Drosophila melanogaster: one gene and its partner. The protein of the gene in region 1 purifies or fractionates together with the protein of each later gene. This does not show direct contact. Each region holds a gene or a part of one and is shown on either strand. Other genes may lie near its edges.

What was found. The genes of interacting proteins can lie anywhere in the genome.
Region 2: the proteins of CG5746 (region 1) and gish purify together in Drosophila melanogaster (affinity purification with mass spectrometry, with the first as the bait; one large-scale study listed by BioGRID). This does not show direct contact.

What each region holds. Positions count from the first base shown.
Region 1 is NT_033777.3:24,345,264-24,350,351, forward strand, and holds CG5746 (uncharacterized protein), read right to left. Parts: upstream 3,529-5,088; 5' UTR 3,399-3,528; exon of another isoform or gene 3,301-3,398; 5' UTR 3,212-3,300; coding exon 2,884-3,211; intron 2,818-2,883; coding exon 2,142-2,817; intron 2,037-2,141; coding exon 1,818-2,036; intron 1,724-1,817; coding exon 1,554-1,723; intron 1,498-1,553; coding exon 1,448-1,497; 3' UTR 529-1,447; downstream 1-528. Other genes in the region: CG6454 (uncharacterized protein), read left to right, coding at 4,045-4,208, 4,263-4,564, 4,627-4,972.
Region 2 is NT_033777.3:16,271,025-16,276,021, reverse strand, and holds the start of gish (gilgamesh), read right to left. Parts: upstream 3,022-4,997; 5' UTR 2,692-3,021; intron 1,871-2,691; 5' UTR 879-1,870; coding exon 853-878; intron 1-852. Other genes in the region: Mat89Ba (maternal transcript 89Ba), read left to right, coding at 3,688-3,726, 3,783-4,997.

The sequences.
Region 1 (5,088 bases):
TGTACTTTCAGTGCTTTCAGTTTGTAATTTTAGATATTTATCTAATTGAATTGTTATGGTACGTGTAAGCTCAATCATGGTAAAAATTCTCGATAATATATTTTCGCGACACTATCTTAAAAATTTGATTGACTGATGTCCTTGAATTTTCATAACGCATTCGGTATATTGCATTTTCGTTTAGTTTTTATCCTGAGTTTTGTTGATCAGGTATACTTGGCACTTTGATAATCGCTTGGCGATTAATTGTTCTATGTATTTGTTGTAATCGTTTCGTAAATACTTAAAACTCTGTTATTTCATTCATTTGTCTCTCATTTTTCTTGACTTGTATGCTTGCAGTGCAGCTTCGGTTCGTGAATATATTCAGTCTTACGTTTTTTTTTCACATTTTTCACTCATTATTCGTCTTTTGATTGATTGTTTTGCTTAATAATTTGCAGTTTTACTGATTGATTTCTTTTAAACAAAATATTTTAAATAATAATATGTACGCTTAAATAAGTTTAATGCATTAAACACATTTTTGAACATTATTTTATTGACTTTGATTATGGTTATGGTTTTTGCATCTTTTTCTAATATACTTTGTGTATTTCGTTACTTGTTTTTTTTTTCAGCTTAAATTTAAGGAGTTACATTATTACGAACTTTTTTTTTTGCTTAAATTGTCACTATAAGAGGTTTTTGTAAAACAAAAAAGTAATAAGTCACGCTTTTGTCACGTTTTTGTCATTCATAAAGAAAAAAACACAATCTTGCAAAATCATAAACGCTTTCAGATGCATGTGGGATAGAAAATAATTGTGTCGAGAGTGGATTGCGGTTTTCAGCTTAAAAACTAAAATATACATTGCATTCATTTGTATACAATTTTACATGATTCACAAAATGTTTAAATTTAGTTCATTCAAAAGATCATGTTACGTACTCTCATTTTTCCGTCATATAAAAAATATGATTGTAGCATACTTTGGTCACAGTTGACTTGTAATTGTAAATGGAACTAAGGAGGAGCACATTTAATTTTCTTAGGCTGGAGCTCAGTGCAGTCTAGCTCCGTTTGTCTATTTAGAGAACATTAAACAACAGGCAAGGCGGATTATTTCAATATATCTGTTCAGTACTCATGGGGAGACGAAACGGAAACAAAGGGGGATGTTAATTTGGGGTGGGGGTTTATGTAGAAAGACGTCGAAACACTAGTTTGCTTAAATGCTAAGAAAAAGAGAACTTTATACTTAAAACTAAAATTGTATGCTTTGAGTGACCGCGTATGTGTGTGTTTGCGTGTTATGTATAGCAAGTTAATTGTTGCATTAAACATATATTCCCTTCCATGTTACTCTGCCCTAGTCCCTTCTTATTTGGTTTTTTGGCCTATCGAAGCACGCGCAGCGTTCTGTTCTCTAGTGTGCCGTCAGGGGTGGGAGTGGGAAGTGGTTGTTTAGTAGTAGGCGGCTGCATTTGAATAGTTCTGCGAGTACGCCTGCGAATCTGAAAGAAGACACCGATGACGGATGATGCAACTGGAGGGAACTGAAATAACCTACCATAACCCGCGTAGGCACGCTCATCGTAGCCAGTGCTTTGCGCTCCGTGCTGGCTGTAGTCCGCTTGTCCGGTAGCATTGTAGTCCACTGCAGTCGAGCCATACTGTTGGCTGTAGTCCTGGCTGTACGACTGATACCGTGTATCCTGCGGTGCGGCATAGCCCGTCGAGCTGTTTGGAAGCACAAAGCAATACATTAGCACTTGCGTGGCCCAATTGAAGGCAAGAAACGTAGAGAGAGAGACGTCAAGATTAGGTAACCCACTTGTAGTTCTGATACTGGCTCTGATCGTATTCGGTGCTGTGGTGGGCTCCGTAGCTGCTGCTCGCCGGAGCACTTGTCTGCGATGTGTGAGCCGCATAGCTGCTGCTACCGCTCTGGCCATAGCCATTGTATCCCTGCTGGGTGGTCTGGGTGCTGTAACCGCTCTGCGCGTAGGGGTCCACTTGTTGGGTCTGCTCGTGTGTCTGATAGCTGTGATGGCTGATAAAGAACAGCGTCAAAAAATGTACCAATTATTTTTGCAGATTTAGAAAGTGTGCACTATATTGATTTGATTATATAATATTTGAAAATTCGATGCCTTACCTTTGTTGTGGCGCATGGTGACTTGGCGGCGAGCCATAAGAGGACTGCGAAGACATGCCGCCGCCTCCTCCACCACCCATATGCTGCTGTGTTGAATGGTACTTGGGCGTCATGGGCCGTTGGCCATATGGACCGCCCTCGTAGCGACCGCGTTTGGGACCAGGACCACCGGGAGCGCCGCGTTTGAGAGCTGGTACCGGTGCAAGTTGTGTATTGGGATTATGTGCCTGATGGTGATGCAAGGGTGGCCGACTCATACCTTGATTGTAGCCGCCCCTGCCCCGAGGACCTCCGCGCCTGGGCATCGAACCGTGCTCGCTGCCCGGACCGCCGCCCATGGAATTGCCGTGGTGGCTGTGGGAGCCACCGTACATGCTGCCGCCTCCACTGCCGTTCATGTGCGAATTGTAGCCGCCGCCACCACGTCCACGTCCACTGAAGGGACCACCACGTCCACGTCCACGGCCCAGATATGGAGGAGGTCCTCCTCCGTTGCTGCCCCCAGGAGCGGAACTGCCGCCATGCGAGTTGCCCGAAGACGGGACGACCGCTGATGTCTGGCCATCGGTGACCTCATCACCGGCTGCTTCAACCGCTGGCTGTTCTCCACTGATCGCCGAGGTGGGCACTGGTGATACGGTCTTGTTGTTCTCGGCACCTGTGTGTTGTTTGGGAGCTAAATTGGATTGGATTGGATTTACAAGGTATGGCAGGAAGTCGAGGGTTGTCTGCGGAAACTTACGCTGCGAGTACAAAGGTGGGCGACCGCCCCGCATGCCCATGGGAGCGCCACCACGCGGCTGATAACCGCCGCCGCGTCCCTGATAGCCCATTCCACCACGGGATCCACGCATTCCCCTCGGAGGACCCGACATCATGCCCTGCATGGGCGGTCCTCCGCCCATTCCGCTGCCGCCGCCTCCGCGCATGCCACCCATAAAGTGTCCACGACCGCCACGACCACGTCCGCGATCGAAGCCACCGCGCATAGGCGCTCCACCGCCCCGTCCACGGAAACCGCCTCCACGTGGACCGCCCATCGATGGCGAGGACACTGAGCCTCCTTCCATGCTCCTCTCTCGCTGTTCTCGTACACTAGATCACACGCACTACCACTTGCACTGGTATTCTTCGCACTCGGACGCGGATTTTAAGACTGCTGAAGCCGGAGGAAGAAGAAGAAGCAGCGTTAGGATGCCGCAGATTGACGATTCGAGGAACTATTGCTAGCGACTAATCGTTTCTATTGATGCTTACTGGTCACTTGGTCACTCGGCGCACTTTCAACAGTAGCTTATCTTAAATAACTTATTTAACTTAACATTATTCGGTGTGCGAAGCGCGTTGGTCTTCATTCAGTGAAAAAATATGGCGGCGACTATTGATTTTTGTTGCAGCGCTGCCCACTCGTCGCTCTTTTGCGCCAGTGTTGTCATCCTTCAGCGACAATATAGCTATGAAAACTTGTTATTATAATTTTCCAAGAGTTAATATACAAAACAGGTTAATACGTAATGAATTAATTTATAGTTCAAACAAATAGAGTCTAGTCCATAAACATGCATTAAAGATATATTCAAACTCCGGAGGGAATGAGTTTAAGCAAATTTTAGTTGGAATGGTGATCGCTAGTAGTTAGTTTAGAATTGATGGAAACACTTAAGATGATTATTGCTTAATGATTTAAGAAACTGCTCCACTCTCATTCAAAAAAGCAAATTAAAACATTGAGCAGTCCCAGCACAAGTAACTAATCTGTAGGTAATTTGCAATTCACGGACCACGGCCACACTTGGCACTGGGAAAAATGGAAAACACAAGATAAAACGTGAACCCTTTGGTCGAAATTCGGTGGTCACAATCTGGTATCTGGTGAAAAGGGACGACAGGCGAGTGCGACAGGATGCCGGGCAAGGTGGGGGTGAAGATTAAGGCGGCGCGCAACCTGCCCGTGATGGACAAAAGCAGCGAAACCACGGACGCCTTCGTGGAGATCAAACTGGCCTCGGTGACCCACAAGACGGATGTCTTCCGCAAGAGTTTGAATCCCACCTGGAATACCGATTGGTGAGGTCTGACCATTCAATAGCTCCATATATTGTAACATTTGCTTTCTGATAGGTTCCGTTTTGAGGTGGACGACGCTGAGCTCCAGGATGAGCCCCTGCAAATCCGCCTGATGGACTACGACACGTACTCTGCGAACGATGCGATTGGAAAGGTCAACATCAGTTTGAATCCTCTGTGCCTGGAGAGCTCTAGTCAAGCGGTGCACGGCAAGGGTACCGTGTTATCCGGCTGGATTCCTGTTTTCGACACTATGCACGGTATTCGCGGCGAGATCAATGTGATTGTGAAGGTTGACCTGTTCTCGGACGTCAACAAGTTCCGTCAGAGCTCCTGCGGCATCCCCTTCTTTCACTGTATAAGCAGACAAATATTCTCTAAAGAAATGGTCTATTAATTATCCTTTTATCTCCAACAGCTCAGTGTGTGCCATTTGGCTACCGCGCCCAAGTGATTCATGGCTTTGTCGAGGAATTGGTGGTGAATGACGATCCGGAGTATCAGTGGATCGACAAAATACGCACACCGCGTGCTTCCAACGAGGCTCGCCAGGTGGTGTTTCTCAAGTTGTCGGGTCAGGTGCAGAGGAGAATGGGCCTAAAGGCTATTAATATGGGTGCTAATGCAGTCATCGGCTATACCCAGTGCTTCGATTTGGAGGGCGACGTGGGTGTGGTAGCCCGAGGCATTGGAACGGCTGTGACGCTGATCAAGGACACCAGCACAAGCCAACCAAATAGTGCGGATGTGGCACTGATCGAAGAGTGAGTATTTGGTGGCACTAGTCGCTGTCTGATTACTCATAACTTATTAATTCTTTTGCTATTTACTATACTCTTGCAAAGCAATTGTCATATTTTAGCTGTCCGATTACATGATT
Region 2 (4,997 bases), 8.1 Mb from region 1:
GCGAGAAAAAGCAGACGCCATAAGCCAAAAGCAACAAAAACACTTGCGAAAATAAAATAAAATCAAACACACAAGTTTAAATAGAAACATCTCTTTGCTAAAAATAAAATCGTTCGGCAAAAAAGGCAGCTACAACTAAATCTGTTGCTTGAACTTTTGACAATGTACAGTATTCGCTAGGAAATTAAAAGGAATTAGCTTTATGGAAATTTATTTATGTTAAACGAAATAAAATTATTTTAAACCAGACTCATTTTCTTTAAAAATTCGCAGTTTGCATTCGTTAATATTTTAAAAAGTTTTATGAGTGAAAGAAAAGCTAGTTCTATTGGTTAACTAAGCCAACCAAATCAAAACTGTTAGGTTTTAAAACTTGCAAACACGCGTTTCCCGACACAGCCATAATCTTATCGCTATCAAAATATCCAACCGCTTCTACGCCTGATAACAGTGTACTGTAGTACCGAATATGGAACATTTATGAGAACAGACGTCGCTTCCGTAGATAGTGGCAATGGTTTTTTAGCACGGCTTATCAATGCAAAATTATAAATAGTCGCAAGCCTATGGTCTCTAGTCAAAATTTGAGTACCGCTTGGAGTTGGAAGGTATAGCTAAGGGGCGTACAAAAGATTCAGATTCAAAAGCAGGGATAAAGCCAGTGGGCTAGATTCGCTTATCTTGATTTTCGATTGACAATAGAAAACTATAAATGGGTTTCAATACTGTAGCCAAAAGCAATGCCAACTTAAATGGTAGGATTAATTTTTAATTTTTGAAAGAGTCTTAGAACCATTACCTCTTTATGAATTTGGGGGATAATCGATATACAATTACACAATCATAACTCACCTTGCTTGCCGTTCTCGTCGCTGCATTTCGCCTAGCTAATCTCGCTTGAATTTTGATCGCTTTTCCGTAATTTTGATAATGATTTTTTTATCGACTGCCGCTGCTGCTTTTGTTTTTTTTTTTCCAACGTTGAGGCTGTTAATGTTGCTGACAGGCAACTGGTTTGATCCGAAATGCTGACTCTGTTTGACGAACAAACTGGAGGATCTGCAGGATCTGTGGGATGCGTGCGAATTGAGCGAATTATCCTCACCGCCCACACTCACACGCATTCGCGCACTCACTCACACTCACTTAGCGTCCGCGCATGTCGCGCATGCGAACAACACACACGGGAGATCCGTCGCTCTCTTTTGCTCTTTCCCCCGCTGGACGACAGGTGTGTGTACAGAGATTGCCTCTCTCCCTCTGTTCGCTAGCTTACAGTTATTCCAGTTGTTCCTTTTCCTTCTCTTTCTGCTGTTGTTGTTGTTGTTGCTATGGGGTCGTCGTTGTTTGACATCAAGTATGAAATTTGAGCAGCATCTCCTTGAAATTTCAGCTTTGGTGCTATACTTTCCGAATTTATTTTATGTTTTTGGTGAGCTGTGTGGTAGTTTAGTTATGTGTTCATATGTCAAAAGGCGGGCTATTTGTCGTAGGACTATTTTCCTATTGTTAATCGGCTTTAGGTTCCGGTGTAAATTAGCCAAGGCGAGTGTATCTATGTTGTTAAGAATTAAGGAAAACAGCCTCGTGCTACGCTGAACAACTATGTAAACAAATAATTTTGGCTAAACAATTTGACAAACACACTTTCGCACATTTTATCCAACAATTTTTGTGACAACAGATCTGAATCTCCGAATTCATTCAGATTGTTGCTATGATATTTTTCCTCCCAGTTTTTGATGACATTTTAGGCAAAAGGGACTATGTTGCTGTTTAAATATGTAGTTAAATTTCAATTAAGGGAAATTTAACCGGTCAGTATCACGCCTAAACTTTTAATGCTCACGATCGTGGAAATCAAAGCAATCTGAAAAATAAGAATGGAAAAGTTAAAGCAATTGTAAAAGAGCTGAATAAACAAAATTGTAAACGTAAAGATCGGTCTTAATTCCAAGCGCTTTGAATGTTTTGACGAAAGATCATGTTAACTGATACAAAATATAAAAAAACTCATATTACCGACGATTTAAACATTTTTCATTCTGTATGGATAATAAAAATAGTAAATAGACTAATGAATGTACGAAACTGCGGTATTTCTTTTGGTATGTTAGGCCAGCCATAGCGTATGCTGGTCACACTAAAAGCACTGATGAGAGCGCTAACTAAATTTGTTTTTTTTTTTCAATTGATTTTCATTTAATTTAGTAAGAGTTACTATTGACTTTAACTTAAAACTTTTAAAGTCATCGTCGCACAAATGAAAGTTACTCTCTTCTAAAAGGTACCAAATTAAAATTTAGAAAATTACAGAAAATTAGGCTAATTAGCTGCCATGGCCACCGCGCCGTATAAATTGTTGGAAAAATCTCTGGGGCCGCAAGGTCGAAGTAAATATTTCCGTACGTGATTTCGTTTATTTTTATAAATTTTCAAGTTTTGTTATTCGATGCAAAAAACGAGCCAAGGCGGCGATGGCCAAAGACCCAAAGAGAATAAGAGAGAGAAAACCAAGAAAGGCAGAGGGGCAAAGAGGCAGAGAGGGTGTAACTACTCGACTTTTGGCCATATTTTTTTCAATGGGCCTCCTTTCTGCCAACGCATCATTTTATAAGGTTTGCTTTGATCTTTACGGAATGAACGACTTGTGGGCTTTATTAATTAGGCAACTTTTAACTGCCGATTTACCTTTTATACAGTTTTGCACGCATTTTCATTACGCCTCATTTTTCACCCATACACTCTCACACGCACGCACGCACGCACAGACACAGTTACACACGTTCGGACCGAATATTGAAATTTGCAACTCGATTTGCTACTGTGCGCTCGTCGATTTCTGGATAACAACTTAGTTCACTACTTTTTATAAATTAAGCTGGGCTTGTGTTTAACTGATTTTCTACGAAACAATCCTCGAAAGACCAAAAAACGCACGCAAGAGAGCACGAGAAAAATGGTGCGATTTTTTCCCCTGCCTGCAAACACACACACACACGCTTATACATGGACAGAGACGGAGTAAGACCGTATAGAAAAACGAGGGAAATACTCTAGGCTGATTTAATGCTGATTACTGGTAAAAGAAAAATGGGATAATTTAATTAGCTTTTCCCGTTTATTTTAAACAGATACTTATATACTTGTGCTAAAGACAGAACTTACCTAAAGCCCTCTTTACATAAAAGATGTTTAAACATAATTATGAAATAAAAATACTGTTTAAAATACTGTTGCTGGCGAAACCAATTAGCCGGTAAATTTGTTTATCTACTCTTTAAAACTGTATAGGCCCACGGTAATATCTTTCGCGTTTAACTGATAATTTGTTTTTATAATATTATAAATTTTATCTTATTTATTGGTCCTGGATCCAAGGATTTCTCGGCAATTGGTATAGACATTTACACTTCACATTGTCTAAATTTGTAACTTATTCAACAACTGTGTACCATGCAATATATTTTGCTCTAATTTATTTAGTGTATAAAACCTTTTCAATATTTTAATTATAATTACGTTCGACACTGTTTTTGCGGCTGATTTGGGACTAAAAAACGAATCTGCCCAGTTCTAGGGTGACCATACAAAAACCTCTAATGAAATACCGAATTCTGAAATACCGCATCTGCAACACGTGCGAGTTTAGCTCTCTCTCCAACAAGTAAATAAATTTTATATTATATGCGATTTGTACAGGGAAACATCATGCCAGGAAAGTTGGTAAGATTGTCTAGATCTTTATGGAAACTATTTGGCCTATAACATACTTTGTTTAGGTGGGCTCTCCGAAGGGAGCTGCTCGAACAGGTACCCAAGCAATTGCACATGCCGGGGATCACAGCGACCTTGATGAACCAAAACCCAAAATCGCCAAGAGCGACCCACCATCCACTGCCATACCAAAGAAGAACAACTTCAAGCAGAGAGAAGGTACCAAGAATGTAAAGCCGCCCACTTTGGAGGAGATGAAGGAGCTACGAGACACCCAAAATCTCTTCCACTCCAATCTCTTTAAGCTTCAAGTTAAGGAAATGCTGGAGGAGCTGCAGTTAAAGCAGAAATACACAGATTTCATTGAAAACTGGCTTGAATCCTTTACGGCCTTTACCCGACAGCTAAAGGATGGCTTGATGGAGCGTACCCACTTGGAAGTTCCAATGAAGCTTTCTGAAAAGCCGACCGGATTTGTTTTCTCCAAGCCCACCAGGGAACCTTATCTGATCGGAGCCGCCGCCACGGGCACTTTGCTGGGTCCCAAAATTGTAGTGGATGTGGCCCTGGAGATGCCAAAAGAATCCCTGCACAAAGAAGATTACCTAAACCTTCGCTATGACCAGAAGCGAGCTTTGTATCTTACTTATGTGACGGAGAGGATGATGGAGTCCCCAGATTATGCAGAAGATCAGTTTAATTTCAACTACTATGCTAACAACCCGCTTAAGCCGGTTCTGGAATTGATCCCAGTTACTAAGCAAGTAAACAAGCACCTGCAAGTGCGTCTGTTCATCACTGCCCCATTAAGCAGTTTTAAGCCAGGCAGATTTGTTCCCTGGAACAACAATATTCGGCCCTCGTTTTACGGTGACGAATGGGACGAGAAAGATCCGCTGCCCTCCACCCAACACTACAACGCAAACGTACTGTTTGATCTAACTTTGTCCGAGAACCAGGCTCAATTGGATAAGGCCTTTAAGAGCAGGCGTAATTTTCAGGACGGCCTGCTGCTCCTTAAAGTATGGTTGCGTCAGAGGCAACTGGACATAGGTTACAGTGGGTTTGGTGCCCACATCTTAGCCGCTTTTATTGTGTACCTAAATACGCAGCGCATTCTGCATCAGTCAAGCAGCAGTTACCAAGTGGCACGCACTGTATGGAACCAACTGGCGAACACGGACTGGACGAAAGGCATTAGCCTGTCTGTTGCTCCCATTCAAACGGAAGAATTAAACAAGTTTGCCGAACACTATGACGTTTGCTTTATAGACTTCACT